Coturnix japonica: one gene and its partners. The protein of the gene in region 3 binds, or shares a complex with, the protein of the main gene of each other region. Links are inferred from orthologs where the notes say so. Each region holds a gene or a part of one and is shown on either strand. Other genes may lie near its edges. The genes, in order: SMARCD3, PHF10, ARID1B, DPF3, SMARCD1, SMARCC1 and SMARCC2.

Region 1 (4,036 bases), on a different chromosome or scaffold from region 3:
TGGGCCCCAGTACCAACCCCTGGGGGACACCACTTGTAACAGGTTGCCAGCTGGACTTAACTCCATTAACCACTACCCACTGGGCACAGCCCTCTAGCCAGTTCCTTACCCAAAGAAGAGTATGCCTGTCCAGGACACGGGCAGCCAATTTCCCCAGGAGAATACTGTGAGAGACCATGTCAAAGGTTTTGCGTAAGTCTACATATACTACATCAACAGCCTTTCTCTCATCTACCAAACTGGTAACCCCTTCGTAGAAGGAGATGAAGTTGGTCAAGCGTGACCGACCTTTCATGAACCTGTGCTGGCTGGTCCTGATCCCCTGGACTTCGTGCACATGCCGTATGATCTCACCCAAGATGATTTGCTCCATAACTTTCCCTGGTACTGAGGTCAGGCTGACAGGCCTGTAGTTCCCCAGATAAAGAAAGATTAATACTGTAGTTTAAATGATGGATGGCATGTTTTGAGCTATAAGAGTCTCAAGGACAGACATTTATTGAGGCATTAATAGTGGTGATAAATAAATTGGGAAGGAAAAATAATTTGCTTTAGATTTATGCTAATGAAAAAGAGAATCATAGAATTACCCAGGTTGGAAAAGACCTCGAAGATCATCAAGTCCAACCACAGCCTAACCATAGTACCCTAGCTCTAACTACCCTCTGCTAAATCATATCACCGAGCACCACATGAGAAGGAGGCAAGGAGCTGAGTTAACGCTTGGATAGGTTGAAGGAAGCAGTCTTTTGCAGAGTATGAACAGAGATGAGTGAACCAAAGACTTTAGGAACAGCTGGGCTGGTAACACTGACACAACTTCCAAGTGAGTTGACCAGGGTGCTTATATTTTCACAGAATCATAGAATCACAAGGTTGGAAAGGACCAAGATCATCCAAGTCCAACCATCCTCCCACTACCATTACTACTGCAAGCCACTAAACCATATCTTGTAGCTCCTCATCCAGACACCTCTTGAACACTGCACTCCACTTTTTACTGTGGAAGAAAAAGAAATAAAAAAAAAAAAAAAGCTAAAATGTTGGGACTGTCTGGGTAAATAGATATTCTGCATTACATTTAGTTTTTGAACAATTTTAAATCTCTTTTACACTGTATACACATGATACAACTGATCAGATAGCAAATGTCTGCTCTTGGATGAGATGAATTATTCTATGGTCTCTTCTGTGTGACTGTATTGTCACGATCTCTTTTGACTGTAGAGAGAACTTATAAATGCAGAAATATTTAGAAGTCCAGATATAGTTGTTCTGCCCTAGGTAATTTTCCAGAATGAGTGCCTCCTATAAAATTTGCAGAGATAATAAACTCAGAATTCCTGCTCAGCACTGCTCTTTTTTAGTGTATTCAAGAATCTATAAACTTTTATTGAGATGTCATGAAGTATTGCTAAATTTCTATGTAGGAAAGCTAAGATAATCCCATATTTCTTATGTGTGCTGTATATGCACGATTGCAGAGCAGCTTGATGCGCTGAGAGCAACAGTAGAAAATGAATGGCAGAAAAATAACTTGGAACTGTTTGGCAGAATTGTATCCTGTTTTATTAGATGAGAATTATGCACAAGCACAGCAGTTAGAGCTGGCTGACAGGTACATACATAATGATAACTAACCTGAGAAATAACTGCTTTCTTGCATTGGAAAAACATACAGCATTGTACTGTTTAAAAACATACAGTACCTTAACTGAAAAATCCTTGACTTGGTGAAAAGACTGCTTATACACAAGAAATCATTACATTAGAGCAAGACTTGGCTCTTCAGTATTGTATATATGTGCCATCCAACAGTTCAATGCAGGAAGTGAAGAATATGCTTGTATTGCAGAAATACATGTGAAATCAAGATGTAATTTCAAGATGAGGGTTAACTCCTACTTTGAAGGGAAAATTCAGTGGGATCATTCATGGGTCTTTGGTGTACAACTGTCATCTTTGCATGTTACAAGAACCGCAAAGACACTAATGAGGCTGGCCTCAGGACCGTGGAAGCCTGGGAGGAATTAAGTAACATCTAGCTTATTTTTTTCTGTTAGATCCATGAGACCATCGAATCCATCAACCAGCTGAAGACACAGCGTGATTTCATGCTGAGCTTCTCCAAAGATCCCAAAGGATACATCCAAGACCTTCTCCGGTCCCAAAGCAGGGATCTTAAGGTGAGCTACGATTTGAAGAGTGGGCAAGAGTATAATGACTACAGTTAAATGTGTATAGCATGTATTGCTAAAATGTCCAGGATAGAAAATTGGTAGAAAAGAAGAAGACAGACAAGTGTAACACTGCTATCCTAGAGCAGAAAATATACAGGAAAGACCAGTTAGGTTATATTACACTCCCAGAATAGGGACTAGGTGAACTTTTTATTAGAAAGCAAAATGGAGGTGCAAGGATATGTTGATGTACTTGTAAGGCGGAATAATACAAAAGATAGTAATAATACAAGGATGGTGATAGAAATCCAAAAGGATATATATAGGAAAGACTCACCAACACAGATGCCTACAGTCCAGCTGGAAAAATGCTGAGGCTGACAATGGAGGAACAATCTCAAAGATATACTGCCTTAGTGGTGGTCAGCCCTTAAATGAAGTCTAGGAGAGGTGGAGTCAAGCTCCACCTGAATTACCCTCACCTGTGCTCCCACAGCTGACCCGACACTTGCCTCAGCTGATTAATAAGAGGTTCAGGCTGTGATTACCAGTTTCCCATACAGTACTCAATAAAATTAAAGGTATATGAAACTTAGTAGGAGGATTCTGTAGCACAGTAACACAATTTGAATGCTTTGTTATTTTTCATAATTAAATCTTGTTTAAGAAATAGCAGATTAAATATCATCTGCCTTTTAGCTAAGCATTTAAATTTCCAAGAAATGGAATGTAAGGAAGTTCAGGTGTTTGCCAGCAAAATAAGAGTTTGTTTCTCACAATGTTTCGCACTTTGAATCTTTAAATCAGACACCTCAAAACCAGTTATATCAATAAAGCGGTGAAATTATTTTAATGGATTGTCCTTCAAATATAAACATCTACTTTGTTAATCAATAATCTTCCAAAGATCTATTGTTAATATTCTGATTATTATTTATATTCAAGAGGGGAATAGATATATAAGGGAATGTTCAAAAATACCTTCAGCTTGAAGAGCTTATGAACTAAGGTATTGTGGAGCTTCTGTAGCTGCATACATAGAGCATTTGTTCAGTGTTCTCCCTGCTGTTAAGACATCAGAGATCTATAGTACTTAGCTTGGGCAGCTGAATTACTCCTTAGCATAGCTCTGGAGCAGAGGTTAGGAGCTGTTCACAATTTGCATATTACTGTCATGTACTGGCGGTAACCACACATGCCATTCATGCCATTCATTTTTCATTTGCCTTGGGCTTAGAGGTCAGTCTGGAATATTTTTAAACTAGCATTGCAGATAAATTTTGATCCCAGGTAAATCTAATATTTCTCTACATGTTAAAGTAGCTGTAGTGAAAAGTATTTTTATTTTTGTCACAGGTGATGACTGATGTAGTTGGAAATCCAGAAGAAGAACGCAGAGCTGAATTTTATCATGAGCCATGGTCTCAAGAGGCTGTGAGCAGATATTTCTACTGCAAGGTATGATGGAGTTAGCCACACTAATAACTCATAAGTGAATCTTTCTGTCACTGAACAATTGAATCTGCTGAACTGTACAGTTTTTCTTTTTCTTTCAGATTCAGCAGCGCCGACAGGAACTGGAACAGTCTCTGGGAGTGCGCAACACATAAGTATTGCTCAAAACATCACATTGGCATCATGACCACAGAACAAGTGGACTTCCCAGTGTTACTTTGCTCACTGTTACACATGGACCTGCTTCCTAACTGGATGGGAATGTACCATCAACAAACCAGTCAGAACACCAGCTTTAGAGTGACCCTTGAAAACAGCGCCCATGGGAGGTGTCTCAGATCATTCCAGGCCATAGATAGCAGAAGATTGCCATGCTTTATACAGGTGTCAGTGATAAAGAA
Region 2 (4,036 bases), about 9.6 Mb from region 3:
AGACTCATTACCTGAAAATTCTCAAAATGCTTTAACATTATTTATGGGGGATTTTGAGTAACTTTATATGCTTTTGTTGCTGTTTTTTGTTACCCCTAAGATCTGGAACGACGAGATCTGTCTCACAAGGAGAAACTCTACCTCAGAGAACTAAATGTTATCACGGAGACTCAATGCACGTTAGGTAAGAGAAGAATAAGATTCCTCGCTAAAGTATAAAAAATGACCCACTGAAAATGTGATTCAGTTTTGGTAGAGAAGTCACTTGCAAATGAAAATGTAAATTCTGACCTGAAAACTAGTTTATATTTTTGTTTATGTAAACTGGCCAAAGGATATCAATGCTCAATATTGATCATAAAAACATACATTTTAATTTTGTTCCAATTTCTTAGTAAAACCTATGTTGTAAATTGGCTTTTAGAGCCTTTTTCTCCTTAACAGAAAAAGAACAGCATGATTTTTTAAACTAAAACTCCATCTGTATTTTTGGCTGAATTTGTAGTGACTCAGCAAACGTTAGTGTATTCCATGGAATTGAGCTTATGTCTTAGATGTCAGAAGGGTGAATATTAAGCCACTTAAATGCATATGCAATAGAACATTGTCATTAATGCAATTTATATTGGAAGAGTTTCAAGTGTTTGTTCTTCCTCTGCTAGTATGTGTGACTTGGAGTGTGTTAAAAATTAAAGGATGCCTGTCACTTTTTTTTTTCCCAGTGTACCCATGGATCTGTGCAGATGTTAATTACATTACTTTATAAATTAACAGTCCTTGGTACACTGCCTTTGTTTCTCAGCTGCCAGCTCTCTTGAAAGTTTTACTTAAATATGCAGGATATACCCGTATCTAATTTTTATCAGTAGAAGCAAAATGCTATATTCTATCTCAGATATACAACAGAGGCATGTGGTGCATCAGCTGTCCCTGTGATAACATACGCCAACTTCTGTCCTGTTGTAAACAGTATTAGTTTCATTGGAATCTTTTGAAGAGATGTTCTGCGTGACTTGATAGCTGCAAAATGACATGTTCTGACTTTTGAACTTGAAATACTTTAATCAGGAATCAGGCATCTGTCTGCAGTTTGCTGCTCTGAATTGACCTCACAGTGATTCTTTTTTGATTTGTACAGAGAACCTGACCTTGAAATTAAAATAGTGTGAGGCAGTGAAACTGGCCATTCACCAGTACAAGAAACTGAAACAAACATCACCAGGTCCTGCTTTCAGCAGAAGTTCTGCCTCTTAGGGAAGTTTAGTAGGTGACAGTCACTGTGAAGATGAAGTTTAGCTTCTGTAGTTGTAAGCAAGGGAAGAATCTTTCCTCCTTGGGAAGAAGCAAAACCTTAATCAGCCTCAAAAGCTAAATGTCATAAGTTCACTCCTATGTGACAGAGGGTGAAGTGTCGTGCATTGTAGGTTATTGTCTTCAGCTGCTCAAAAACTTCACTTGATGATTGTTTGATATAAATAACCCACGGTTGGTTTTGCCAGGTAGCATCATTATTGCTTTTATCTATTTTAGGTCTAACAGCTTTGCGTAGTGATGAAGTAATTGATCTTATGATTAAAGAATACCCTGCCAAACATGCTGAGTATTCTGTTATACTGCAAGAGAAAGAACGTCAGCGAATAACAGATCATTACAAAGAGTACTCTGTAAGTAAATAGAATATGTTAAGTGAACCAGATCTGTAGCATGGAAGATAAAAACAAATGTTCGCAAACTGGTGGTGAAATGTGTGTAAGTTAATAAGATTGTTTTTGTTTCAGCAAATGCAGCAGCAGAACACACAGAAAGTAGAAGCCAGTAAAGTTCCAGAATATATTAAAAAAGCTGCCAAGAAGGCTGCAGAATTCAACAGCAATTTAAACCGAGAGCGAATGGAAGAAAGAAGAGCCTATTTTGATTTACAGACACATGTAGGCAAACTATATTTTTTTATCAATGTTGAAAGGTAGATCTTCGTTTTAGTAAGGGTGTTTCTTAGAACCTTTCTAACAATCTTACCATTCAGGGGGTTCATTAGTCTCATTTTAGAGACATATGGACTTTTAAGAAGCTTCTGTTATATCTGTTGATATATATGGCCAGTTCTCTTTTGGAACGCTTCTAAAATTCTCTCTGAACAATCTATTTACTTAAAAGTTAAGCTGTTTATCTGAAAGAATGCTTTGAATCGAACTTTATGCCCTTATTTTTGTTAGATGCTACATATGTTATCGAATATATATGTAATATATTATGGAAAGGTGACATCTTCCTGACAGTGATACATTAGAAACAAGATGGTGGGTAATTAATTTGACTCATTTCTAAGGAAAGAAGGCTTCTTTAAGATTCTTTTTCCCTGTATTTGTGTTATTTGTGGGATTTTTTAGTGGCACAGTCTGATTTTTGGCATTAGATGGCAGTGTTGTTGCTACCCTCTACCAGTATGGACCCACAATAATAATTAACATCAAAGATACTTCTCACAGAAGTTTACGATTACTGCTTCAATTGCTAGATTTTTATTTTTAAATTATTTTACATACTGTACTATTAGAAACAGTCTTCTTTCAATTCATCAAGCACATCCTGATTAGACTTAAATCTGTAATACTGTTTTACGAGTGGGATCTCTCGTCATTTTAGTGAGTTGAATTTTCCATGGGAGAGCTCAGGTAGCTGTTCTAATTGAGTAAAAGGCATAAACTGGCACACGCATAAATATTTTCAGGAAATGGAGGGTAAGGAAAGCTTAAAAGTTTACAAAACAAGAACTTCATTGTTTTGTGTTAAACAACAGATTATCCAGGTGCCTCAAGGAAAATACAAAATCTTGCCTACGGAGAGAACAAAGGTTAGTCCTTATCCAGTGGCTCTCATACCCGGCCAGTTCCAGGAGTATTACAAAAGGTATTTTAAAAGCATTGCAGCTGCTGTTTCTTTTGAACTGATCTCTACATCTAGCTCGTGGAAAACATTTGAGTATATTTGCAGCAGAGTTTTGAATTACTCTTATGCTTGAGGCCCTCGCTAGTCTAATAAATGTGCTGCAGCATGGGGGCTTTTGTCAACATCATGTATGTAGCACTTGCTGCTAGAGTGTCTCCTTCTCTGATGTACTGTGGTGCCTGAATTTGGTCTGTTCAGATAATCTGGTTAGATCTTGACATTATCCTGTAGTTATTTTTATTTGCAATTTTTCCCCCTTCAGTAATCATGAAACTTGATCTGGAATCTATCATCTTTACTTATTTTGCTTTGGACCCCAGCCGTTTGTGTGTTGTGGGTTAGAACTGATGCTGTGTACTTCTATAAACAAAGTATATGGTTTGTTGGCATGGATTGATCAAAAATTTGTAGGCATTCAGGTATTTTATGATTGCTCAGGTTTGCAACATTGCAAATATACTCTTCCTGTGTTCCACGAATATCTACCTACACAAAGATGACAAGTACTAAACAGTGTAACATTTGTGGGGATAACTCCGTAAGTTTCCTATATTTTGAGAAGTGCATGTCTATATGTGCTTCCCTTAAGAGGAGGGTTGGAATTATTTACATTTCTTACTCTTTCTCTCTAATTCTCATACATATTTTGTGAGTAATATCTACGCATAAAGCGCACAGGCATTCATTTATTTATTTTACTACCTTCAGATATTCTCCAGATGAACTTCGTTACTTACCATTAAACACAGCTCTTTACGAACCCCCTTTGGATCCAGAGCTGCCTGCATTAGACAGTGACGGGGATTCAGATGATGCAGAGGAAGGGCGAGGTGACGAGAAACGGAAAACCAAAGGCAATTCGGTGAGACACATTGAAAGTATTCTTCAACAACAAAAATAATCCTTTCTATTTGCTTTTTTTTTTTTTTTTTTTTTTAGTTTCAGTAATTTCCTATTACAATCTTTTAACTTTTGCAAAATGAAGTAGAATTGTAAACTCAGAATACCCACCTTTTTAGTACTTCTCTTTATTTTATAACATTTCTCTTCAACTTTCCATTTTACTCTGTTTTTAAAGTAAGTCAAACAA
Region 3 (4,009 bases):
GTCATCATCCTCCAGTGAAGGTCCTCAGCAGAACATGTGGCCAACACGAAACGATATGCCTTACCCTTACCAGAATAGGCAAGGTCCAGGAGGCCCTGCACAGGCCCCACCGTATCCAGGGATGAATCGCACTGATGATATGATGGTACCTGACCAGAGGATAAACCACGAGAGTCAGTGGCCTTCTCATGTCAACCAACGTCAGCCTTCTTATATGTCATCTTCAGCCTCCATGCAGCCTATCACTAGGCCTCCTCAGTCATCCTACCAGACACCACCCTCTATGCCAAATCACATCTCTAGAGCTCCAAGTCCAGCATCCTTCCAGCGCTCTTTGGAAAACCGTATGTCTCCAAGCAAGTCTCCTTTCCTACCCTCCATGAAGATGCAAAAGGTTATACCCACAGTTCCAGTGTCACAGGTCACAGGACCTCCACCCCAACCACCACCGATTAGGCGAGAAATTACCTTCCCCCCAGGCTCTGTAGAAGCATCGCAGCCAGTCTTAAAACCAAGGCGAAAGATTACCTCAAAAGATATTGGTAAGTACAGAAACAAAAGCGAAATGCTTTTGGGAGCAAGGTTGGGAGAAAGGATCTTTGGTTTTTGTTTTCCTTTACTTGTTAAGACTGCTTTGACAAGTAATTAACTTTGGTAGCTATTATGTGTTCACTAAAAATGCAATAGAATATGAATCAGTGAGGATGACAAATCTCATACCAGCAAGTTCAACACCATATGAAATCAGTTTTCTGTATGGAGACCTGAGTTCTCAAAAAGTGCAATATTACATTAAAAATAAAGCTTGTCTGGGCTTCCAAATGCTATTTGTTGAAAGATCCACCAGAATGTCTGTTAAATCACTGGTGCAGTGTTTAGGTGAGCAAAGATTTCCACATTCTTGTTCCATGGAAGCTCACAACAGAGCTATTGCTCTGTGCCCTTACAGTGTCTGCCTAAGTAAGGCGGAATGGCCCGTTTTTTCATGCCATATTATTTGCCACTTCTGTTTCTCTCCAAATTCTTTCCTAAGTATCTTCTTATCTTGAATTCCTGTTATATTTCACATGTTCCAGTTCCCATACCTCAGGTTCCCATATTCATGACAGAATATTCTACTTGCATTTATGTATTGTTTGTTATAGCCAGCTTCTTAAAAGTTTGTAAGATGATTTCTTCAGCAGGGTCAAGAAGAATGGCCCCATTAAAATGCTCTCCAGAATTAGCACTAAGTAAGAGAGAAAAACATAACGGAGCTAAGTGGTGAAACCAGGGTCTTAAGCAGTGTTTCAGTAATTATTCAGTAACTATTTCCTATATATTTTGCATCCTCAGAACATCACAGTTTATTCTTTCAAAACATCGCAAGTCTTCAACTCTCATAGGTTGCACTAATACTGTTTTATGCTTATCTTTTCTTTCTCCAGTAACTCCTGAGGCCTGGAGAGTGATGATGTCTCTTAAATCTGGTCTTTTGGCTGAAAGTACCTGGGCGCTAGACACTATTAATATTCTTCTATATGATGATAGCACTGTCGCTACTTTCAACCTCTCTCAGGTAGGTGGGAAAGCAGAGTACCTCTAAGCTTTCCAAGGAAAGAAAACACTAAGAAAATAGATATGAAAATGCTGAAGTCTCTTAAAATATGTTAACGTAAGTCAGAATATTGCAAAACTTCAATTTGTAATTTGATAACAGTGAGTAACAAAATGTACTTAAGGGTGGAATTGGGGAAATAATAAGCTTAAAAGGAGAGCAGCTTTTGTGGAAAGGAATACATAGGAATGTAAGAGTGTTAACACTGGCAGAAGACTAATGTGTAAATTCACATTTGTTGTTGAACAAGGATAATCCCAGAAAATAGCATTGTTAGTAATTTCACATAAAAAACATTCCAAAAAAGTCATTGCAGAATGATGTTAGATTTGAGACTGTCTTTCAGTTGCTATTTGTCTTATTCACTAGTCCTTATACTCGGCTGTGAGATATTTTGTTGGGGTTTTTTTGTTCCTTCTACCCACAAAGTAAGCTTGTACAAAACTAGTAGGTTTATCAAACAATTAAAAGGCTAAAATCCACTGTCTGCACACAGGATAGTAGCATACAGTTTAACAGTGTATGCTTTTGCCTCTCTCCCTCCCAGCATTTTTCAGCCCTGCTCTACCTATCAGCCTGTTAGATGGTTGTTATAGATGGCGTTCTGGTAATGCCATCTAATGGAGTTTCTCTGCTCCACTCACTCCCTGGCTACTAATAGTGTAACTCATCTTTTTTAAAATATAATGACCTTTTTTTTAAAAAAAAAATTAAAAAAAAATAAAAAGGCACAGATTATACGTTTCATTCCACCTAACTTTAGAACTAGGGATATCTGTAGCATAATTCATCTCATCCTAAAGTAGAGATCTAAAATAGGTCAGATGAATCATACCCTGGAAATGGCCTTGAAAAGATCACTGATTATAAAAAGAATCTAGATGATTAGGCTTGTAACTGTTGCAGGTGTTTGGAATTAAGGGAGATGAATCTCCTGAATTCTGTAGAGACTGCATTAATACACCTTGTGCAAATTGCACAGAATACCAGATCATTTTAGATTTTAGAGGTTGCTTTTGCTTTGAACTTGATTTCTAGTGTCAGTCAGGACTCCATATGACAATCGATAATTCCCACTGTTTATAAGCATCTGTTTGTTCTCATTTCTTTGGGATTTTTGGCAATGGTATGAATACAGAATGGGTGAAAGGATGCATTTTGCAAAATATCTGTTAGCCCACAATTAAAACAACCATTAAAAGGCAGACAATTGGGCTGAATGTATCATATCAGTAAAGAGATTTTAATAATAAAGCAACTGAGGGTAAATTAGTATCGAGTCCAACTACTGCCTTTCTGTGAGAAAGTGATTACCAGTTAATTAAGAGGATTAAAGCTAAATGAAAACTGTTTCTGAAGGATGACTTACACCACTGGGCTCTAATGACAATTTTGAAATACCATCACACAAAAAGAGAGTCATACCAGTAGAGATGGATTACTAATCTGGGATATCAGTACCTCGAACCTGAACTGTGTATTCTAACAGAACAGATGGTTTTAGAGACTGAGAGACAAAGGAAGAGATAAAGAATTGTCAACTTCCAGAGTCTAATAAATGTACAATTCAGAAAAGCAAAGAGGGTTAGAAACTTCAGTACTCTGAAGAAACAATAAAGTATATTAGGCACATCCCAGGATGGAACAGCTAGGCTAAAAAGTAGCTAAGGTGCTAGTGCATAAGAAGAAAAGTACTGTACTTTTCATAGCTGTTAGGTTTTAAGCAAATGGAATCGTGGTGGTCTGGTGTTACATACTGATTAGACAGACACTAGAAAAATTTCATTTGATTAGCTTCTGCCATGCAGGGACCTAGCCACAAGTCCACAGCAAAAGGCAGGAAGTTGTACAATTTAGTGTTCCGTATGAAATTTCATGCAGTCAAAAATATTTGTTTTTTATGTTGTTTTTTTTTCTCCCCTTAGTTGTCTGGATTTCTTGAGCTTTTAGTAGAATATTTTAGAAAATGCCTGATTGACATTTTTGGAATCCTCATGGAATATGAAGTGGGAGATCCAGGTCACAAAGCACTTGATCACAAATCAGCCAAGAAAGATGATAGCCAGTCCTTGGCAGAGGATACTGGAAAAGAGGAGAGTGACGAATGTATTGACTGTTTCGATGAAGAGGAGGAGGAGGGGGAGGATGAAAACGTAGAAGGAGAAGAAAAGAGCATTGTTTTTTCCACTCCTGGTGCCATTGCTGATCCAAGTGAAAGGCCAAAACAAGCCAGTAAATTTGACAAGCTGCCAATAAAGATTGTAAAGAAAAATAATCTATTTGTTGTTGACCGATCTGACAAACTTGGACGCGTTCAGGAATTTGATAGTGGACTTCTCCACTGGCAGCTTGGTGGTGGCGACACAACTGAGCATATCCAGACTCACTTTGAAAGCAAGATGGAGATTCCTC
Region 4 (4,036 bases), on a different chromosome or scaffold from region 3:
GAAAGAGTACTGCTCCCATGAAAGTCATGAGGTGAAAATGACAAGTGACATAAAAAAAGGAGTATCAGGCTGTCAGATACAGAAAAATAGTGATTTGCACCAATCTGGCATCTTAAAATGGCAGTTGTGCCTATACAAGAGGGTAGTAGATAAACAACTAACAGAACAGCAAAGGGAGCCTCTTTTACCTTTGTGCGTGCATCCCTCCAGCTCCCTTGCTGTGTGTTATACTCTTTTTGCACACTAATGAATGTTGGAGTCAGAGCAAGTTAAGCTGTATCTCATTCTGCTCCTATTTTCTAATGAACTTACCCCTGATGGGTAGCTTTCCTAGCTATTCATGTCACGACTGAATTTCACCTTGACAGTAGATCAAGAATGAGGTTTCAGCAGTGTGGCCCACCTACTTTGCAGTGCTCCAGCATGACAGCTGCTTTGTGTCCTTAGGGTAGCTCTACTTTGATGCTTTTCCCTGTTTAGAACAATTTGGAGGGAGGATTTTGGTAATCTCCAGCAGGCAGTTTTCAAACCTTTCTCAGGGGAATATGAAGATTCGTCAGAATTTTTGAACCAATATTTATGAAACAAGTGACATTGTCTTTAGCATGGTTCTTCCCACTGAGCTCCAGAACAAAGGATTTGCCATGCTGCATCCTACCAACTGCTATTGTAGCTTGCTGCTGTTGGTGCCTTAAACCCGACTGTGGAAAACTCTGGAATGGTAGAGAGAAAACTAGTGTAAGCATTGCAAACATGGCTCAAGCTATTAACATGTGTGTTTTCACGACTCTGAAACACACAATATGAGGACTGTGTCTTTTGCTCTTCCAGGTTCTTTGGACTAAGAAATGCTGGATTGAAGTTGTAAACCTGTCTGGCTTTTTGGTTGCACACAATACTGCAGGAGTTGCTATAGCACAAAATTGACATGTGTGGTGTGCTGACTTGGCTGGGCAAACTACTGGGGAAGAGAGACAATAGAATGAGGTCACTGCTGTGTACATGGTGCCTGGCCCTGGGTCGGGAGCCAGTGTGGTTATACCATGTGCTCATTCAGTAACAATGCCTTCTGAAAAGATCTGTGTCTGGTTTCTAAAGAGTATCATCCTTTGACAGTTTCTGCATGATCTGCTTTGGTAGTGTGTGGTGTCAGTCAGCTTTTCACGTGTTCAGGGGAAGTTTTTCTGGTTGCCTATTTGAATAAGACAACCATATATGCCCGCCTTTTCCTAGTCTTGTTTAAGGAGAAGAGCAACCTTTTCTAATCTCCGCTCTGTCTCTTTTGGCAGGCTTGGGGACCAGTTCTACAAAGAAGCAATTGAGCACTGTCGCAGCTACAACTCTCGGCTGTGTGCTGAGCGGAGCGTTCGCCTTCCCTTCCTGGACTCGCAGACTGGGGTTGCTCAGAACAACTGCTACATCTGGATGGAGAAGCGGCACAGGGGACCAGGTTGGTAGCATTGTGTCTGCATGTGCGTGCACATGTCTGGAGGTCTGGCCACTGAGCCCTCATGGGATTTAATTAATAGGAACTCAAACCTGCTACAGGCCATGCAGAAGAGAAACTGCCTAAACCTCTGTGCCTGCAGGGGATTTCCTTTGGTAACTGCAGAGAGCTGATCCTAATTATTCTCTCTCTACCCGAAGAAGTGCCTGACATGGTAGTTTCTAAGGCTGTATCACTGTAGCTCTTCTAATGCTATTGATCCCAGTCTGTAGAAGGCACAATACCCTGCTCTGTAAGCAGGATTGAAATTATGTTCAGGGTGGAGAAGCAGAGGTGAAAGTCTTAGGTGAATGGTGAATATAAGGGGTTGTATCGGGCAGTATTTACAGTGGAGGTGAAATACAGGAGAGTCAAACTTCTGGAATGAATGTTGTTCTGATGATTATAAATGTAAGTATAACTTCTAGTTCTGTTCTGGACAAGTTTGGATATCAGCTCTGGAGCCTCAGTTTCCTTAGCTGCAGAAAAAAATTGGTATGCATCCTCAAATACCTTTGGCTAAGTTCTTGTCCAGAGGGGGAAAGACCACTGTTATTTTAATAGGCTTTGATCAGTCCTTCCTTCATTAGAGTGTAAATCCATCTGAAATGCTTGTTTTGAAAGCAGAGGACAATCACCAGTTCAGAGGCTTGATGTTACTTAAACAGAACTCCTGAAACCCAGTGAGAATTTTGCTAGAGTGTGGCTCAGTATCTGATCCACAGTTAGCACAGGCATGGATTTTCTGACAATACAGGAGTGGATTTGTGTTTCCCCCGCTTCTCCCCTCCCAATGTGCGTACTGGAGAATCCAGGCAGGAAAGAGTCAATTGTGCTCAGACACTGACCATGTGCACATATCCCTGTCAATTCCTGTAAACCATACTGAAAAAAAGAAAAGAAAAAAATCCAGACCTGTAACTGTGTGTAGGTGCAGGCTGCTGTTACCTCCTCCACTGGCTACCTTGCAGCAGCTGTAGCAGGAGGAACACAAATGTTATTTGCCTCCCCTCCTGTGAGCAGACTAGGAAATCAATTGATGCCTCTGAAGGGTGCTTATCTGAAACGCTTCCTAGGATAGGAGGGGGCATATCTTTACATTGCTTCTATTCCTAAAAAACTCAAAGTAGGTGTGGTGTGGTCTTGCAGTACCGCCAGAAAACTGTAGTAAAATGCAGCCACTTCTGTTGCAGGAGACAGCAGGTGTTTCACCAACATTAAATATATCCTAAGAATATTTCAACTGCCGAAACTACTCCAGTAATCTGAGATGCTAAATGTGGTTTGTGACCACGTTTTTTATTTTCTTTCTAATGTAAAACCTCCTAATTCCTAAGAGATTGTTAGCTTTTGCAAAGCTAGCTTTCCTTTTTTTTCTTTTTCTTCTTTTTGGCTAATCAGTTTGGCTGTGCAATTTCTGTTCTTGTAACATCAAGTTATGAGCAAGATGCTGTTTTTTAATCCTTGTAAACTCAGTAATAAACATGTATACATCCACTATATACACAAATGATGTCTTGGCAAGAGCACTTGCTACAAACTAAGCAAACGTAGTCTTGTATGGGTCTCATTGGTGTCTCTGCATTTATGGAGGAAATCATCCTAAAAGAGTTACAGCATCACACCAGGAGCCAAGAGCTCTGTCACTGGCTCTATGGATGACCTTTGGCAAATGCACTGAGCAAATCTTTTTGTTCACTTCTGTTACTGAACTTTCCTGTGGTTTCCCCTGCAAAAGAGTCAGTGGCTCCAGTGGGAACTAATGGCAGAACATTCCTCATAGAGAGTCTTAAGCGAATCAGGCTTTCTGCACTTGTTTCAGCCACCAAATCTGATGTCTTTGTTATTTTAAATTAGAATAATAAGTGCAAAATGAAGCAGCCCTCCTCCCCCATATTTGCTCTGCTCTTTCTTGATTTTTATTAGTCCCTTTAGTGCTCCCTTGGGTCTCTTTGCATCATCTATTTCTTGTAGTATTGTTATGGTGGGTCAAAGCATCCTTGTTTAGTTTTAGTGTCCTTGTTTTCAGGCTATACACATTGTACTTATGCTCATACTGAACATCTTCAAAAATTTGTTACCAGCACACAAGATGGATACTAAGGTGGCTATGTTCATTGCCATTTACTATCTGTAACCTGAAAAACTGTATAAAGACAAATGGCAAAGATCCAGGAACCATTTTCTTTTACAGAGAGTTTGAAAAACAGAGGAGAGTTGGGATCTCAGTGTATTAACCTGGTTTCTCACTGTCCTCTTTGTTAAGGGAGTCAGAAAACTGCACTTCATGATAAACAGTTCAGGGTTAATTTCACACAATACTGCACATAACTCCCTCCCTCTTCTCTCCTCCTCCCCCAGCCTTTCACAGGAGCTCTGAGTTATGACTCTCCTACACTAATGAGATAAACAACATAACTCACTGCAGGTTCTGCTATTTCCTCTATAAGCAAATGGTTGGAACCTTCTCTGGTTGCCCTATAAGGCCCCAGAGGGAGATGCAGCTCAGCTACGACTAAAGACAAGATGTGCATAAGTGTTATTTCTATA
Region 5 (4,483 bases), on a different chromosome or scaffold from region 3:
GGACAAGTGTAAGGAGACACTGGGGTTATTTCACCCTCCCTTGCTTCTTATGAAACACAGCTAATGACAGAGGACAAGGAGAAATGGCATCAGAACGTCCCTGGAGAGGGGGAGCTGGGGCAACACTGTGCTCAGCTCTTAGGAACCCACAGCTCTTAAGTGTGGGTTGGATGAGTGGACAAGGGCTGAGCTGTGAGAAAGGAGCTCTGCAAAAAAAGACGTGGGTCTCTTGGTGGCCAACGGGGTAACCATGAGCCAGGAGTGTGACAAGAAGGCTAATGATACCCTGGGGTGCACTGCACAGAGCCTGGCCAGCAGGGTGATGGAGGGAGGTGCACCTCCCCTCTGCTCTGCCCTGGGGAGGCCACAACTGGAGCACTGGGCTCAGTGCTGGGCTCCCCAGTTCCAGGCAGACAGGGAACTGCTGCTGGAGAGAGACCATTTCTCAGCTCAGCCCTTCCTTATTTCTATATCCCTCCCAGCCACTTCCTAACTCTGTCCAAAGGCTCCTGCCGGGCTTTAAGCCTCACTTGAAGTTGCTGCATCTGAACAATACGGAGCAGATAAGTTCCACCGCTTCTCCTCACCATGAATATTTCATCAGGCAGCCAGGCGCCAAGGCTGTGTTGGAGGTGGCATTACATTAACTGCACGGACACACGGATGCTGAGACAACAGCTAATGGCTGTGCTCACGGCATCGTGTTTTCTATCGAGGTCAAGAAACACTGAATTTGGTGGAAAAGATGCCAACAACTCCCCACTTTTCTCCTCAGTCAACAATGCCATGCACTGTACAGGACAGCTTCCTAAATGGCCTGTGATTATCATTAATTGCTTAATTAATACTTGCGGTGTGGCTGCTCTCTTGGATTTTATTCATGGATTAATGCAGGCTGGATGCAGGTCCCTCTGCTCTATGAGCAACCACACGGATGAGTGCCCTGGGGACAAGGAAAGTAATGCTAATACTTGCAAAAAGCGGCCTTTAATTCAGCGCTGTGCCTTCTACTGAGGGAGGGAGGAATCCTCCTCCAAGCATCCCCAGCCCTAAGCAAAGCAGCCCCAAACACGAGCACAGAGCACCTGTAAGAACAGGGGACCCCCACCCCAACTCAGTCACAGCATCGAGGCTTAATGAGCACCATCCTCCAGCACCTTGCACCCTCAAAACACTTTCCTATGGTCCATGCATGTCCCCAGGACGCAGCCCCTTCCCACACATCCCCCCCTGCAAATACCCCATCCCATCCATGGTCTCTGAAACCCCCAAACCCAACACCATCCCATAGCCCTCTCCAAGTCCTCTACCCCCACCCACAGCCCTCCCCACGCTCTACACCCCCCACCCCCACCCCAGAACCTTGCCATACTCCCCCAGGCCCCTATTCCCCCACAGTAGTGAACCTTAAACCCACCCACGACCCCCTCCCCACCCACTACTTCCCACCCCCCGCAGTTCCTCCCGCCGGCAGGGGGCGCTCTCTGCAGCCGTTGCCGCTCTAGGCCGCTGTCCGCGCTCTCTCTATGTCAGAGCTCCGGTTCCGGCCCGCTCCTCTTTGTGCTGGACAAGATGGCGGCGCGGGCGGGCTTCCAGTCAGTGACTCCCAGCGGTGGAGGCGGCGGGGCCGCTACCGGGACCGGAGCGCTGGGTCCGGGCACACCAGGCGGACCGGTGCGCATGGGCCCAGCCCCGGGACAGGGCTTGTACCGCTCACCTCTACCAGGGGCCGCCTACCCGGTGAGGCAGGGGAGGGGCCGCTGCGGGGCGGGGCGGGAGGGAGTGGGGGCGGCGGGGCCGAGGACGGGGCCGGCTTCCCCCCGGGTGGGCATTGGAACGGCTTTTTTCTTCCCCTTGCAGCGCCCTGGGATGTTACCGGGCAGCCGTTTGGCACCGCAAGGCCCCTCTATGGGGCCGCCCGGGTACGGTGGGAGCCCGGCAGTGAGGCCCGGTATGGCGCAGGCCGGCCTGGATCAGGCCCGTAAGAGACCAGCGCCGCAGCAACTGCAGCAGGTTCAGCCTCAGGCGGTGCCCAACCGCAACCACAAGTAAGAACCGGGGGTGCTGGGGGGCTCAGGGAATAGACGGTGCGGGGGGGGGGGGGGGGGATCAGGGCATCCTTGGCCATCCTTAGAGCTGTGAGTGGGGGGAGGAGCTCGGGTCATTCATAGGATAACTATGGGGTAGAAAGGCTCTGGGGACATCGTTGGGTGTCCTCTTGGCAACAGGGGGGTTCTCAGGGCAATGGGTGTCCAAAGGATGCTGCCAGGGCAGTGGGAGGCTTAGGATATCCTTGGGTATCCTTGAAATAGGAAGGGTTCCTGGAGCAGATGAGGGTCCCAGATCTTCCCTGTGCTCCTCCAGGGCAGGGGAGGGAACAGTGAAGGTCTCAAAATGTCCCTTGGGCATCCTCAGAGCAGCAGGGGTCCTGAGGACATCCCTGGGATGGCAGATGAGTCTTGGGCATATCCTTGGGCATTCCTATGGCAACAGGGTTCCTCAGGACACCCCGAGGGCAAAGAGGAGTCTCAGGGCATCCTTGGGTCCAAGGGGTCTTCGAGGTATCTCTGTGCATCACCAGAGCATTGAGGGTGCTCAGGGCATCCCCAGGTGGACGTGGACACATTGCTTCTCTCCTCATGAAGCCCCATGGGACGAGATCTGTGTATCAGGGTGAGGGCAGGCATCACTGAGCTGCAGGCTCTCTCTGAAGGGGTCAGCACTGACTTGGTGTCATCTGCTGGCTGCTCAGAGCAGCACAAAGCTTTTCTGTGTGCAGAGCCAGGCCTGGGCCTCTCATTGCTGCTTTTTTTTTGTTGGGTGGCTGAAAGAAACTTTGATGTTCTCGTGCAGCTTCGTCTCTGGTAGAGGGGAATTTCCAGCAGATAAAAAAGTAATGTGCAACTGCTGGACAAGAGCAAGTTAATGTTCAGTTTCTGATAGTACAATGTGATGCCTTGGTAACGTTGGTAATGCATCTCTGAGTCTCCTAGAAAAGTCTGTCTAAAGCACATTGAGCCATAAGGCTTCCTTTCCAATGATGCAGCCTTGCTTTCATTGCTTTCCTTGGGGATGTATTAAGGCGATCAGCTGCTGCAGGGCTGAGAGCATTGCTGATGCCCTGGTCCTAAAACACAAACCTCATCTCGCTCCTTTTGTGAACGTCCAGTGTTAATTAGCAGAATGGTTGCCATTTTAATGCTCTCCTTACTTTACAGTGCTAAAAAGAAGAAGATGGCAGACAAAATTCTACCTCAGAGGGTGAGTGGCATGTGCAGTTGACAGCCTCTGCTGATATGGAGATGTGGGGGAACTGACAGTGATTTGCATTCTTGATTGGCTCGTGTTCTGCTTGTAGATCCGTGAACTTGTGCCTGAGTCTCAAGCTTATATGGACCTGCTGGCCTTTGAAAGGAAATTGGACCAGACGATCATGAGGAAACGCTTGGATATCCAGGAGGCTTTGAAACGACCCATTAAGGTAGGAGAGGGACATTCAGAGACTTACTGTTATCAGAAGAGTAGGAGGGCTTTGAAGGTTGTGTCATAACCCTATAAGCATAGAGAGAACTGTAATGCCCAGGACTTAAGTGGGGGGGTAGAACCAAGACTGCCTCTCTCTGTGCTGTTTGTCCTGAGAGTGGATGTATGAGGAAAAGAAGAATATTTAGCTTAGTTTTAACAAAACATAAGCATGATTCTCATCCCTTTGCTTCTGAATGAATACTGAGCTGATGCTTTTTCTTGTAGCAAAAGCGAAAGCTACGTATTTTTATCTCCAATACCTTCAATCCAGCCAAGTCGGATGCAGAGGATGGTGAAGGAACAGTGGCCTCCTGGGAGCTTCGAGTAGAAGGAAGGCTGCTAGAAGATGTGAGTGTAAGGCACCCAACTGCAGAGCTGATTTGATGGGTCTGGAATTGGAAATTGAACCAGTTTCTTAGTGTCTGGGAGTGTAGCTAAGGGCTTGATATCCTCCTTCATCTCTGTTTTCCAAGGAGTCTGATGGTGACGAGACCGAGAGCCCAACTCGGAGACCGATGGGTATCCCCATGGCAGAACATGAGTTATACAAAGTTCTTATAGCTATAAGAATTAATGGTGAGAGCCGATCAGTAGCACTTGTGTACCCTGGCTCTTAGAACCAGGGCACTCGCATTTTATGTAATTGCTGAGTAAGTTAATTCCTCCAAGCTCATCTTTATCTCCAGTCTTTCACCATTTTTGACTTGGAACTTGATTTTCGAGCATGTGTTGATGAATGTAAGTGTTCACAACTTAAAGGAACACTGCTGTGCACCTTGCCTGTGCTTGAGTCCTGGAACTTGCTCTCCTGACTCTCTCTTCCTTCCTGTGTTGCTTGCAGTCTGCTTTGTCCAAATACGATGCCACCAAACAGAAAAGAAAGTTCTCATCCTTCTTTAAATCTCTGGTCATTGAACTTGATAAAGACCTCTATGGCCCTGACAATCACCTGGTAGAG
Region 6 (4,036 bases), on a different chromosome or scaffold from region 3:
TGTCATGAGGTGAGGGAACATCCATCTTTCAGCCAGTGCTTGCATTAGAAGAAAAGGAAATAGCGCGGCTTTGGTAATGGAAATGCTCTGGTAGGCAGGATAGGTGTGGGTAGCGGAATCAATTGAGTTTGAAGAGGCCATTTAAGGTCATCTAGTCCAGTTCCCCTGCACTGAACAGGGGCACTACAGCTGGCTCAAGTTGCTCAGAGCCCATCCAGCCTGGCCCATCCATCCAGTAGCCATTGTGCTGTCACTTTAGCAGTCTGTTCAGCCTCCTCTTGTAACCAGAGTATGTTATACTGTCCTTTATTTATGGAGTTCTGGGTGCTCGGTGAACCTACAGAGTTGGGGTCTTAACCTTTAGTGTCTGCTCTTTATTAAGCGTGTGGAGTTCATTTCAGAGTTCCTGGGTCTGCAGTTCAGTTTGGTTGGTTTGCTGTGTTTCACCAGATTTAAGTTGTGAGGTGCAGCAGAGCCCTGAAATCTCAGAACTTGCTGATGGTAGATCCAATATGAACAGCTACAGGTGGGTGAGAGAAGAAAGGGGTTGTGCAGCCCTCACATTGGTATGATGTCTGCAGATGGCTCCACATATGCAGCCTGAGCTTTACTTCATCTTTAAATAGATTTCCTGTTGTTCTGTTCCCGTGCTATATGCTAGGTGTCATGCTGGAGAGGTAATCAAGTCCACACAGTATGCCATATTTATTGCTCTTGTGATCAGTGAAGGTCTGTAGGAGGTGATGAGCCAATCTGATCCAAAACCAACCATTCCTTGGCTGTCTTTGCAGTCTTGCTTTGTTTCTTAAGATGTGGGTTTGTCCTGTTGTTTCAGAGTGCACGCTTTTCTGGAGCAGTGGGGTCTCATCAACTACCAGGTGGACCCGGAGAGCCGCCCCATGGCCATGGGCCCTCCTCCCACCCCTCACTTCAACGTGCTGGCCGATACACCCTCCGGCCTCATGCCTCTGCACATCCGTACCCCACAGGTGAGCCCTGCAGTGCCCTGGGGGTGGGAGGTGGCAGCTCTGGTCAGTGTCGTGCAGGAGAGTCTGCACATGTTGCTCATGGAAGGTGTTCATGAGTTCAGAATGGGTCAGTTGAGTCATATCGTATCATATCATAGACTGGCCTGGGCTGAAAAGGCCCACAGTGCTCATCGCATTCCAACCCCCTGCTGTGTGCAGGGTCAGCAACCAGCAGCCCAGGCTGCCCAGAGCCACATCCAGCCTGGCCTTGAATGCCTGCAGGGATGGGGCATCCACAGCCTCCTTGGGCAACCTGTTCCAGTGCATCACCACCCTCTGGGTGAAAAGCTTCCTCCTAAGATCCAACCTAAACCTCCCCTGTCTCAGTTTAAAACCATTCCTCCTTGTCTTATCGCTGCCCACCCTCACAAAAAGCCATTCCCCCTCCTGTTTATACACTCCCTTCAAGTACTGGAAGGCTGCAGTGAGGTCTCCGTGGAGCCTCCTCTCCTGAATCAGATCCGCACTGATGCTGTGTAAAGACATCTCCATAACTCATCATGTTGAGCTGTTTTGTTGGTTCTGTGTTGTGCTCAACCTTTGTCTGTAAACTTGGGGGATCCCTTTCAGCTCCTGACACTCCGTCCTTCCTTTCATGTTTGCTCACAGATCCCAGCTGCTCAGCAGATGCTGAGTTTTCCTGAGAAGAACAAAGAGAAACCCACTGACCTGCAGAACTTTGGGCTGCGCACAGATATTTACTCAAAAAAGACCTTAGCAAAGGTAAGTGCGTTTGGATTTCTGTTCCCCTGTGGCTTCTATTAAGTGGGTTCTATCAGTTGTCCTCCTCCAGATGACAGTGAAATGACTCGTTACTCTCAGATTCCCACTTCAGTTCTCACTGGAGGACACTGAGATGCCTCGCTGTATTCATGTTGGGTAAACAGTTTTGAAGGAGAGGACCACGTGCCTGTCCCAAACTACTCAGTGCTGTCAGTCTACAGACACTGAATTTGTGTTATCCTTATTTGATATTTTAATTGAATGCTTCGAAGTCAGCCAGGTGTCAAATAATTCAGTACAGAACCAAGAATCTTTCAGCAGAATCTTGAGTATAGAACTCAGGATCTGTCAGCAAAGTGCAATGTCTGGCACTTGGGCTGGAGGAATCCCAGTCATGAATACAATTGTGTTTTCCTCATCTTTTATAGAGTAAAGGTGCCAGTGCTGGAAGAGAATGGACGGAGCAGGAGACGCTGCTGCTGTTAGAAGTAAGTTCCTGGGGGAAAATGTAAGGCCAGGAGACAAAACCATGTAGGATTTTATACAGTAAGGAAAATGGACACGGAGGTTTAGTGGGTTCTTTTGAAGTCGGGGCAGATGGCAACAACATCCTTTTTGCTGCAGTTCTGAGACCCGGCAGACGTAGCTGGAGGGATGGGTGGTGGAGCTGTGTGTGCACGAGGCTGCCTGCTGCTGCTGTGCCTTTGGAGCTGGTAAAAGGCTGGGGCTCTCCCTTGAAGCTGTATCTCTTTCTTTGTCCGTCATCTCTACCAGAGCGCTGCTGCTACACAGATAGAGTGGAAGCATCTTGTACTGAGGGGACATTATGTTCTTTAAGGTTCACTTCTATCTGATTGTAGCTACAGCCCAGGAATTAAATGCTTAGATATGTTTGCACAGAGTCGAGAGCAGGTCTTGCAATGCAGGGAGGTCTTTGCATTGAGCAGCAGTTAGCAGCACACTGTGCCCTTCAAGGAATGGTTTATCTGCATGTAAGAACATGGAGAAGTTCTCTTGATCTTTCCAGGCTCTCCAATAAGCCATAACATGTTACAGGGAGCTGCAAACAGCCGCTCTGGAAGTTGAATTATTTAACACGCAGATTGTTTTCCTGTGCTCTGCCTCTTAATAAAGGAAGCTTTTAATTTGGTAGCCCTTGCATCCAGCACGTTAATTCATTCCAGGTGTGGCTGTCAGTCTGCACACTGCTCCATTCGGCCTGGGGAAGGACTTTGCTTATGGGGGAGAACAGTGAGGATGTGCTGTTCTGGCAGGGCTAATCTCAATGTGCTGCCTTCTTTTACTCCTGTTCCTGATAGGAAATGCTGGTGCCTCACACACAGCAAGCAGCCACCTCATGAAGTAATCCAGGCAGCATATTCATTTTTCTTTTAGGAAAACAAACAAAGCCTTGAGATTGCAAATGTATTTAATGCGAGTTTCAATTATTAATGTTCCTCATTCTTTGTGGATTTAACCTATGAATTAATCAGTACAGAGAGAATATCAGTTCAAGCGTAAGTAATGCAGCTGTAACGAGGCAGCTTGGTCCAATTAAATCCTCGGGGCGGCTTTGGGCAAATATCTGTGTGGTGCAGTTCCAAAGAGCAAATGGTACCTAAAATAGTCATCTCAAATAATGCCCATCCTTCCTCCTGTTGGCTGAGCAATGGGAGGGGTTGGCTTTCCCTGCCTGCCCCACTGCTCTGCCCCTCCGTGGTGTTCCAGAGCTCTCAGCTATTCCTAATAGGACTACAGAAATCTACCAGGGAGTGAAGGAGAATGAGTAGAAACCTTTCACGTGGCTGCAGGACGCAGCACTCGATCTGATGTGCTGAGTGGCTGCAGTGGGGATGTGATGACACGTGGTGGGATGGATTTAGGGAATGTGTGATGCTGAATGTGGGGTAAATGCTTCCCCACGAGTCTGACCCAGTGAATTGAGCAGTGTCACATTGCTTTAAACACTGCAGCAAGGGAGGCAGGAGGCTGGGGGAGCAGATCCTGAGCAGCTTGGGATCCTCAGTTCCAGAGGAGCTTGTCTGAACCAAATCCTTCTTCTGCTGGGCTTTTAAAGCCCCTCCTCTCATCTGCCCTGTGGGCTGCAAGGTCTTGTGCTGTTCTTTCCCCCCAGCTCAGCTCAGCTGGAGCACAGCTTCCCTGGGCAGGGGTGGCCCATCTCACCTCGGCACTGAGTTGCCTGCTATGCTGGGCATGGTGGTGATGGGCTGACCCAGACGTGGTGACCTCAGAGGGCTGTTCTTACCTTAACCAGTCTGTGCTCC
Region 7 (4,569 bases), on a different chromosome or scaffold from region 3:
GGATGCGTTGCTCTTATCCTCAGTCACAGTGCCCTGGGATGAGATAAAGGGCTGAGCACCAGCAGGAAGCATTGAATGGGACCCAATATCCCCCAATACAAAAAGCCACCTGGTGCCTCTTAATAATGTCCTTCAGTTTACTCAGCAGCTTGGGCTCAATCTCCTGGTGCAGGAAGATGTTGGGCCGGGACAGGCAGTTGTTCTGGGGAAGGAAAGCAAAGGATTAAACAGAGCTGGGAACAAATAGAGGAGGTGGGGAGGAGGGGAGGGAAGCAGCTCCCACCTGCACCAGGGATTTCTCGATGGTCATAAACATCTCCACGTTGCGATCCATCCGCGAGGGATTCTGGAAATCGAAACGCCGCCTTATTGGAAGAAAAGAGCGACTCTCATGAAAGCCACAGCTCAGGTCTCCTCATCACTCAGCCCCATTTTACCCATTAAAGGGGGGTGGGGGGACACCCCAACAGGGATCTGTGTATGGGGCTGTGACCCACAGATGGGCAGCCAACACACTGCCCAACCCAGGGCTGTAACCGCCCCCATTGTGCCCCATAGAGCAGACAAATCTCTGCCTCCCCCCTCCCAACCCCACCACCACCCTTAATTCCATCCCATCCTCCCTATGATGCCGCTCACCATCCTTGGTCGCTCTTGAACTTATAAGCAGCCGCCAAGATGTGGCACAGGGCTCCCCCCGCCTTGAAATCCAGGAAGCATTTGATCTGGAAAAGGGGATGGGAGGACTCGGGGGGGGGGCTGCCCCACAGCGGGCAATACCCCACAGCGGGCAGTGCCCCACAGCAGGCAATACCCCATACATAGCAGGCAATGCCCCACAGCGGGCAGCACTGGGACTCATCCCTTCTCCCTATTGTCCCCATTGCTGTCCCTGCTCCATGCCATGGGGGCGACCACCCCAACAACCCCCCCGCCCAACCCCAGCCCCAAAGAGCCCCCCAAAGGGATGGGAGTGGGGAAGAGGAGGGTCCCCATGTGTCCATCCCTCCCAGCTGGGCCGTGTGGGGCCTGGGGGGCTCTCGCAAAGACCCCTCCAAAGGGGGTGGGGGGTGGGAAGGGGGAGGGTCCCATGTGTCCCCCCCCCACCAAGGCATTGCAGGACCGGGGGGGTCTCACAAAGACCCCCCTAAAGGAGGGGGGGGGGGGAAGAAGAGGGTCCCTATGTGTGTCCCCCCCAGCTGGGCCATTTGGGGCTGGAGGGGTCTCGCAAAGACCTCCCCAAAGGGGGGTGGGGGGGTGGGTCCCCATGTGTTCCCCCACACCAAGGGCCGGGGGGGTCTCGCAAAGACCCTTCCAAAGGGGGTGGGGGGTTGGGAAGGGGGAGGGTCCCATGTGTCCCCCCCAACCCAGGGCATTACGGGGCCGGGCCGTGCGGGTCCGGGGGTGTCTCAGGTCTTTCAAAGACCCCTCCAAAGGGGGTTGGGGGGTTGGGAAAGGGGAGGGTCCCCATGTGCCCCCCCCCCAGCTGGGCCATTTGGGGCCGGGGGGGTCTCGCAAAGACCTCCCCAAAGGGGGGTGGGGGGGTGGGTTCCCATGTGTCCCCCCCAACCCAGGGCATTGCGGGTCCGGGGGTGTCTCGGGTCTTGCAAAGACCCCTCCAAACGGGGTGGGGGGTGGGGGGTGTCCCCATGTGTCCCCCCCAACACCAAGGCATTGCGGGGCCGGGGGGGTCTCGTAAAGACCTCCCCAAAGGGATGGGGGTGGGGAAGACCCCTCCAAAGGGGGTGGGGGGTGGGGAAGGGGAGGGTCCCATGTATCTCCCCCAACACCAAGGTATTATGGGACCGGGGGGGTCTCACAAAGACCCCCCTATAGGGGGGGGGGGGGGGAAGGGGAGGGTCCCATGTATCTCCCCCAACACCAAGGTATTATGGGACCGGGGGGGTCTCACAAAGACCCCCCTATAGGAGGGGGGGGGGGGAAGAGGAGGGTCCCTATGTGTCATCCCACATTTGGGGCCTGGGGGGTCTCACAGAGACCCCCTCAAAGGGATGGGGGTGGGAAGGGGGAGGGTCCCTATGTCCTCCCCACCCAGCTGGGCCATTTGGGGCCAGGGGGGTCTCGCAAAGACAACCCCAAAGGAACGGGGGTGGGGAAGAGGAGGGTCCCTATGTGTCCCCCCCAACACCAAGGCATTGCAGGGCCGGGGGGGTCTCACAAAGACCCCTCCAAAGGGGGGGGGGGGTCCCACGTGTCCCCCCCAACCCAGGGCATTACGGGGCCGGGCCCTGCGGGTCCGGGGGGGTCTCACAAAGACCCTCCTAAAGGAGGGGGGGGGGGAAGAGGAGGGTCCCCACGTGTCATCCCACATTTGGGGCCGGGGGGGTCTCGCAAAGACCCCTCCAAAGGGGGTGGGGGGGTTGGGAAGGGGGGGGGTCCCCATGTGTCCCCCCCCCCCCCCAGCTGGGCCATTTGGAACCGGGGGGGTCTCGCAAAGACCTCCCCAAAGGGATGGGGGTGGGGAAGACCCCTCCAAAGGGGGTGGGGGGGTTGGGAAAGGGGAGGGTCCCATGTGTCCCCCCCAACCCAGGGCATTACGGGGCCGGGCCTTGCGGGTCCGGGGGTGCCTCGGGTCTTGCAAAGACCCCTCCAAAGGGGGTGGGGGGGTTGGGAAGGGGGAGGGTCCCCATGTGTCCCCTCCACCCCAGCTGGGCCATTTGGGGCCGGGGGGGTCTTACAAAGACCCCTCCAAAGGGAGGGGGGGGGGTCCCATGTGTCCCCCCCAACCCAGGGCATTACGGGGCCGGGTCGTGCAGGTCCTGGGGTGTCCCTGGGGGGGGTTGCGGGGTTTGCGGGTCCCTTTGTCCGCCCGGCCCAGTCACGCACCGGCAGTTTGGTGAGCGGCGCGTTGCTGACGTGCTTCCCGAACACTTCCTCCTGGAACTGCAGCAGTTGAACCACGAGACTCGACAGCGATTTGTTGGTGGGGGGCTCGGCCTGGATGTACTGCGGGAGGGGGCTCAGCCTCGGGCCTGGCTCCGTGTAAAGCGGAGCCGTGAGGCCTATGAGGGATCCCGAACGATCCGTACCTTCTTGTAGTTCTTGCCCAACCAAAGGCGGACGTTGTCGAATTGACTGACGGTGTCCGAGGCCTCGTAATATTTGACGTTGGGGCCGCCGTCCTTCTTCCGCACCGCCATCTTCCAGCGGGCCGGGCCGCTCCCCGCCGTGACGTGACGCAGCGCCCCCTGCCGGTAACGAGGGGTACTGCAGGACGGCGCCCCCTGCCGGTAATGAAGGGTACTGCGGGACGGCGCCCCCTGCCGGTAATGAAGGGAACTGCGGGACGGCGCCCCCTGCCGGTAATGAAGGGTACTGCAGGACGGCGCCCCCTGCGGGCAGAACAGGGGTGAGTGTGCACAGCGCCCCCTGCAGGCCGAATGGAGATGAGTGAACACAGCGCCCCCTGGCGGCACGGAGGACCCGATGGATGGGGGCGGTGTGCCGGGTCTAGGCGGAGCGCGGATGAGGGAGGCGCTGAAGTCACGGTGGCCGAGAGGTGAAGGCGTTGGACTCGAAATCCAATAGGGTTTCCCTGCGCAGGTTCGAATCCTGTCCGTGACGGAGCTTTATCTTTTAATGGGGGGGGGGTCCCTTTTTAATGTGGGACTCTGTATAACACGGAGCAGTTCAGAAAGGCTCGGCCCCTTTTAGTGTGACCCCCCCCCCGACCCCTCCTAGAGCAGCCACAGCTTCGCTACAGAAACCAGAACAGCCGTTTTTATTGATCGCTGAACGCCCCCCCCCCCCCCCCCCCCACCAACAAGGGGGGGGGAGACCCGGAACCGCATCGTACAGACAGCGGAAAATAGGGGGAAGGGGGGGGGAGGACCGTAAAAAAAACCAACGTAACGAATGAGAATAAATTAAAGTCCCATAGGGTGAATGGGGGGGGGTAAGGGGGGGTATGAAGCCATCGGTGGCACTCCAAAATCAAAGGGGGGGGGAGGAGAATGGAGGGGGGGGGTAAGAATGGAGGGGTGGGGGAAGGCTGAGTAGTACAAAATAATACAGAACCACGAGCACGAGTGGCTGCAGAGGAACAGCAGTGGGGCAGAGGGGGCTCCTATTGCCCCCCAGGGTGGTGCCAGACCCCCTCCCTGCTCCCCCCACCCCCCCCCCTCATTGGCTCCCCCTCGCCCATAAATGCCCAGCTCTGCCTTTAGGGTTAAATGGGGAGAGGGAGGCCAGGCCTGGCCCCCTGGGACAGACACAGGCAGCATAGGGCAGAGAGCACAAGGGAGGCAGCCGGGGGGGCTGCAGGCACAGCGTGAGCATCCGTGGGGCTGGAAGCCCATGGGGCTGGAAGTCCATGGGGCTGGAAGTCCATGGGGCAGCAGCCCAGCAGTACCCGGGGTGCAGCTGTGCCTCCTCTGCCCCCTCTGAAGACACCAAGTGGGGATATGGAGCTGCAGGGGGCAAATGGGGGGTGGGCTGGGGTGGATGCAGCGGTTATAAGGGGGACTTGGGGGGAAGGGGGGGGGACATGGAATCGTTTCATCCAGCTGTGAGCAGAGCCCGGCCATTGGCAGCATCCACCCCAGGCCT

What was found.
Region 1: ARID1B (region 3) and SMARCD3 share a complex: the UniProt entries of both Homo sapiens proteins name them as parts of the neuron-specific chromatin remodeling complex. The link is inferred for Coturnix japonica from reciprocal best matches to the Homo sapiens genes ARID1B and SMARCD3.
Region 2: ARID1B (region 3) and PHF10 share a complex: the UniProt entries of both Homo sapiens proteins name them as parts of the neural progenitors-specific chromatin remodeling complex. The link is inferred for Coturnix japonica from reciprocal best matches to the Homo sapiens genes ARID1B and PHF10.
Region 4: ARID1B (region 3) and DPF3 share a complex: the UniProt entries of both Homo sapiens proteins name them as parts of the neuron-specific chromatin remodeling complex. The link is inferred for Coturnix japonica from reciprocal best matches to the Homo sapiens genes ARID1B and DPF3.
Region 5: ARID1B (region 3) and SMARCD1 share a complex: the UniProt entries of both Homo sapiens proteins name them as parts of the neuron-specific chromatin remodeling complex. The link is inferred for Coturnix japonica from reciprocal best matches to the Homo sapiens genes ARID1B and SMARCD1.
Region 6: ARID1B (region 3) and SMARCC1 share a complex: the UniProt entries of both Homo sapiens proteins name them as parts of the neuron-specific chromatin remodeling complex. The link is inferred for Coturnix japonica from reciprocal best matches to the Homo sapiens genes ARID1B and SMARCC1.
Region 7: ARID1B (region 3) and SMARCC2 share a complex: the UniProt entries of both Homo sapiens proteins name them as parts of the neuron-specific chromatin remodeling complex. The link is inferred for Coturnix japonica from reciprocal best matches to the Homo sapiens genes ARID1B and SMARCC2.

What each region holds. Positions count from the first base shown.
Region 1 is NC_029517.1:53,114-57,149, reverse strand, and holds part of SMARCD3 (SWI/SNF-related matrix-associated actin-dependent regulator of chromatin subfamily D member 3), read left to right. Parts: intron 1-2,063; coding exon 2,064-2,186; intron 2,187-3,536; coding exon 3,537-3,638; intron 3,639-3,736; coding exon 3,737-3,790; 3' UTR 3,791-4,036. UniProt on the Homo sapiens protein: Involved in transcriptional activation and repression of select genes by chromatin remodeling (alteration of DNA-nucleosome topology).
Region 2 is NC_029518.1:36,960,396-36,964,431, forward strand, and holds part of PHF10 (PHD finger protein 10), read left to right. Parts: intron 1-100; coding exon 101-184; intron 185-1,530; coding exon 1,531-1,664; intron 1,665-1,778; coding exon 1,779-1,928; intron 1,929-2,797; coding exon 2,798-2,907; intron 2,908-3,654; coding exon 3,655-3,808; intron 3,809-4,036. UniProt on the Homo sapiens protein: Involved in transcription activity regulation by chromatin remodeling. Belongs to the neural progenitors-specific chromatin remodeling complex (npBAF complex) and is required for the proliferation of neural progenitors.
Region 3 is NC_029518.1:46,525,791-46,529,799, forward strand, and holds part of ARID1B (AT-rich interactive domain-containing protein 1B), read left to right. Parts: coding exon 1-542; intron 543-1,427; coding exon 1,428-1,558; intron 1,559-3,522; coding exon 3,523-4,009. UniProt on the Homo sapiens protein: Involved in transcriptional activation and repression of select genes by chromatin remodeling (alteration of DNA-nucleosome topology).
Region 4 is NC_029520.1:23,819,314-23,823,349, forward strand, and holds part of DPF3 (zinc finger protein DPF3), read left to right. Parts: intron 1-1,289; coding exon 1,290-1,450; intron 1,451-4,036. UniProt on the Homo sapiens protein: Belongs to the neuron-specific chromatin remodeling complex (nBAF complex).
Region 5 is NC_029544.1:347,843-352,325, reverse strand, and holds the start of SMARCD1 (SWI/SNF-related matrix-associated actin-dependent regulator of chromatin subfamily D member 1), read left to right. Parts: upstream 1-1,536; 5' UTR 1,537-1,572; coding exon 1,573-1,740; intron 1,741-1,860; coding exon 1,861-2,048; intron 2,049-3,218; coding exon 3,219-3,261; intron 3,262-3,358; coding exon 3,359-3,481; intron 3,482-3,750; coding exon 3,751-3,879; intron 3,880-4,366; coding exon 4,367-4,483. UniProt on the Homo sapiens protein: Involved in transcriptional activation and repression of select genes by chromatin remodeling (alteration of DNA-nucleosome topology).
Region 6 is NC_029517.1:723,694-727,729, forward strand, and holds part of SMARCC1 (SWI/SNF complex subunit SMARCC1), read left to right. Parts: coding exon 1-9; intron 10-835; coding exon 836-989; intron 990-1,637; coding exon 1,638-1,751; intron 1,752-2,179; coding exon 2,180-2,239; intron 2,240-4,036. UniProt on the Homo sapiens protein: Involved in transcriptional activation and repression of select genes by chromatin remodeling (alteration of DNA-nucleosome topology).
Region 7 is NC_029544.1:895,450-900,018, forward strand, and holds the start of SMARCC2 (SWI/SNF complex subunit SMARCC2), read right to left. Parts: upstream 3,206-4,569; 5' UTR 3,162-3,205; coding exon 3,051-3,161; intron 2,968-3,050; coding exon 2,848-2,967; intron 732-2,847; exon of another isoform or gene 726-731; coding exon 640-725; intron 366-639; coding exon 284-365; intron 203-283; coding exon 110-202; intron 34-109; coding exon 1-33. UniProt on the Homo sapiens protein: Involved in transcriptional activation and repression of select genes by chromatin remodeling (alteration of DNA-nucleosome topology).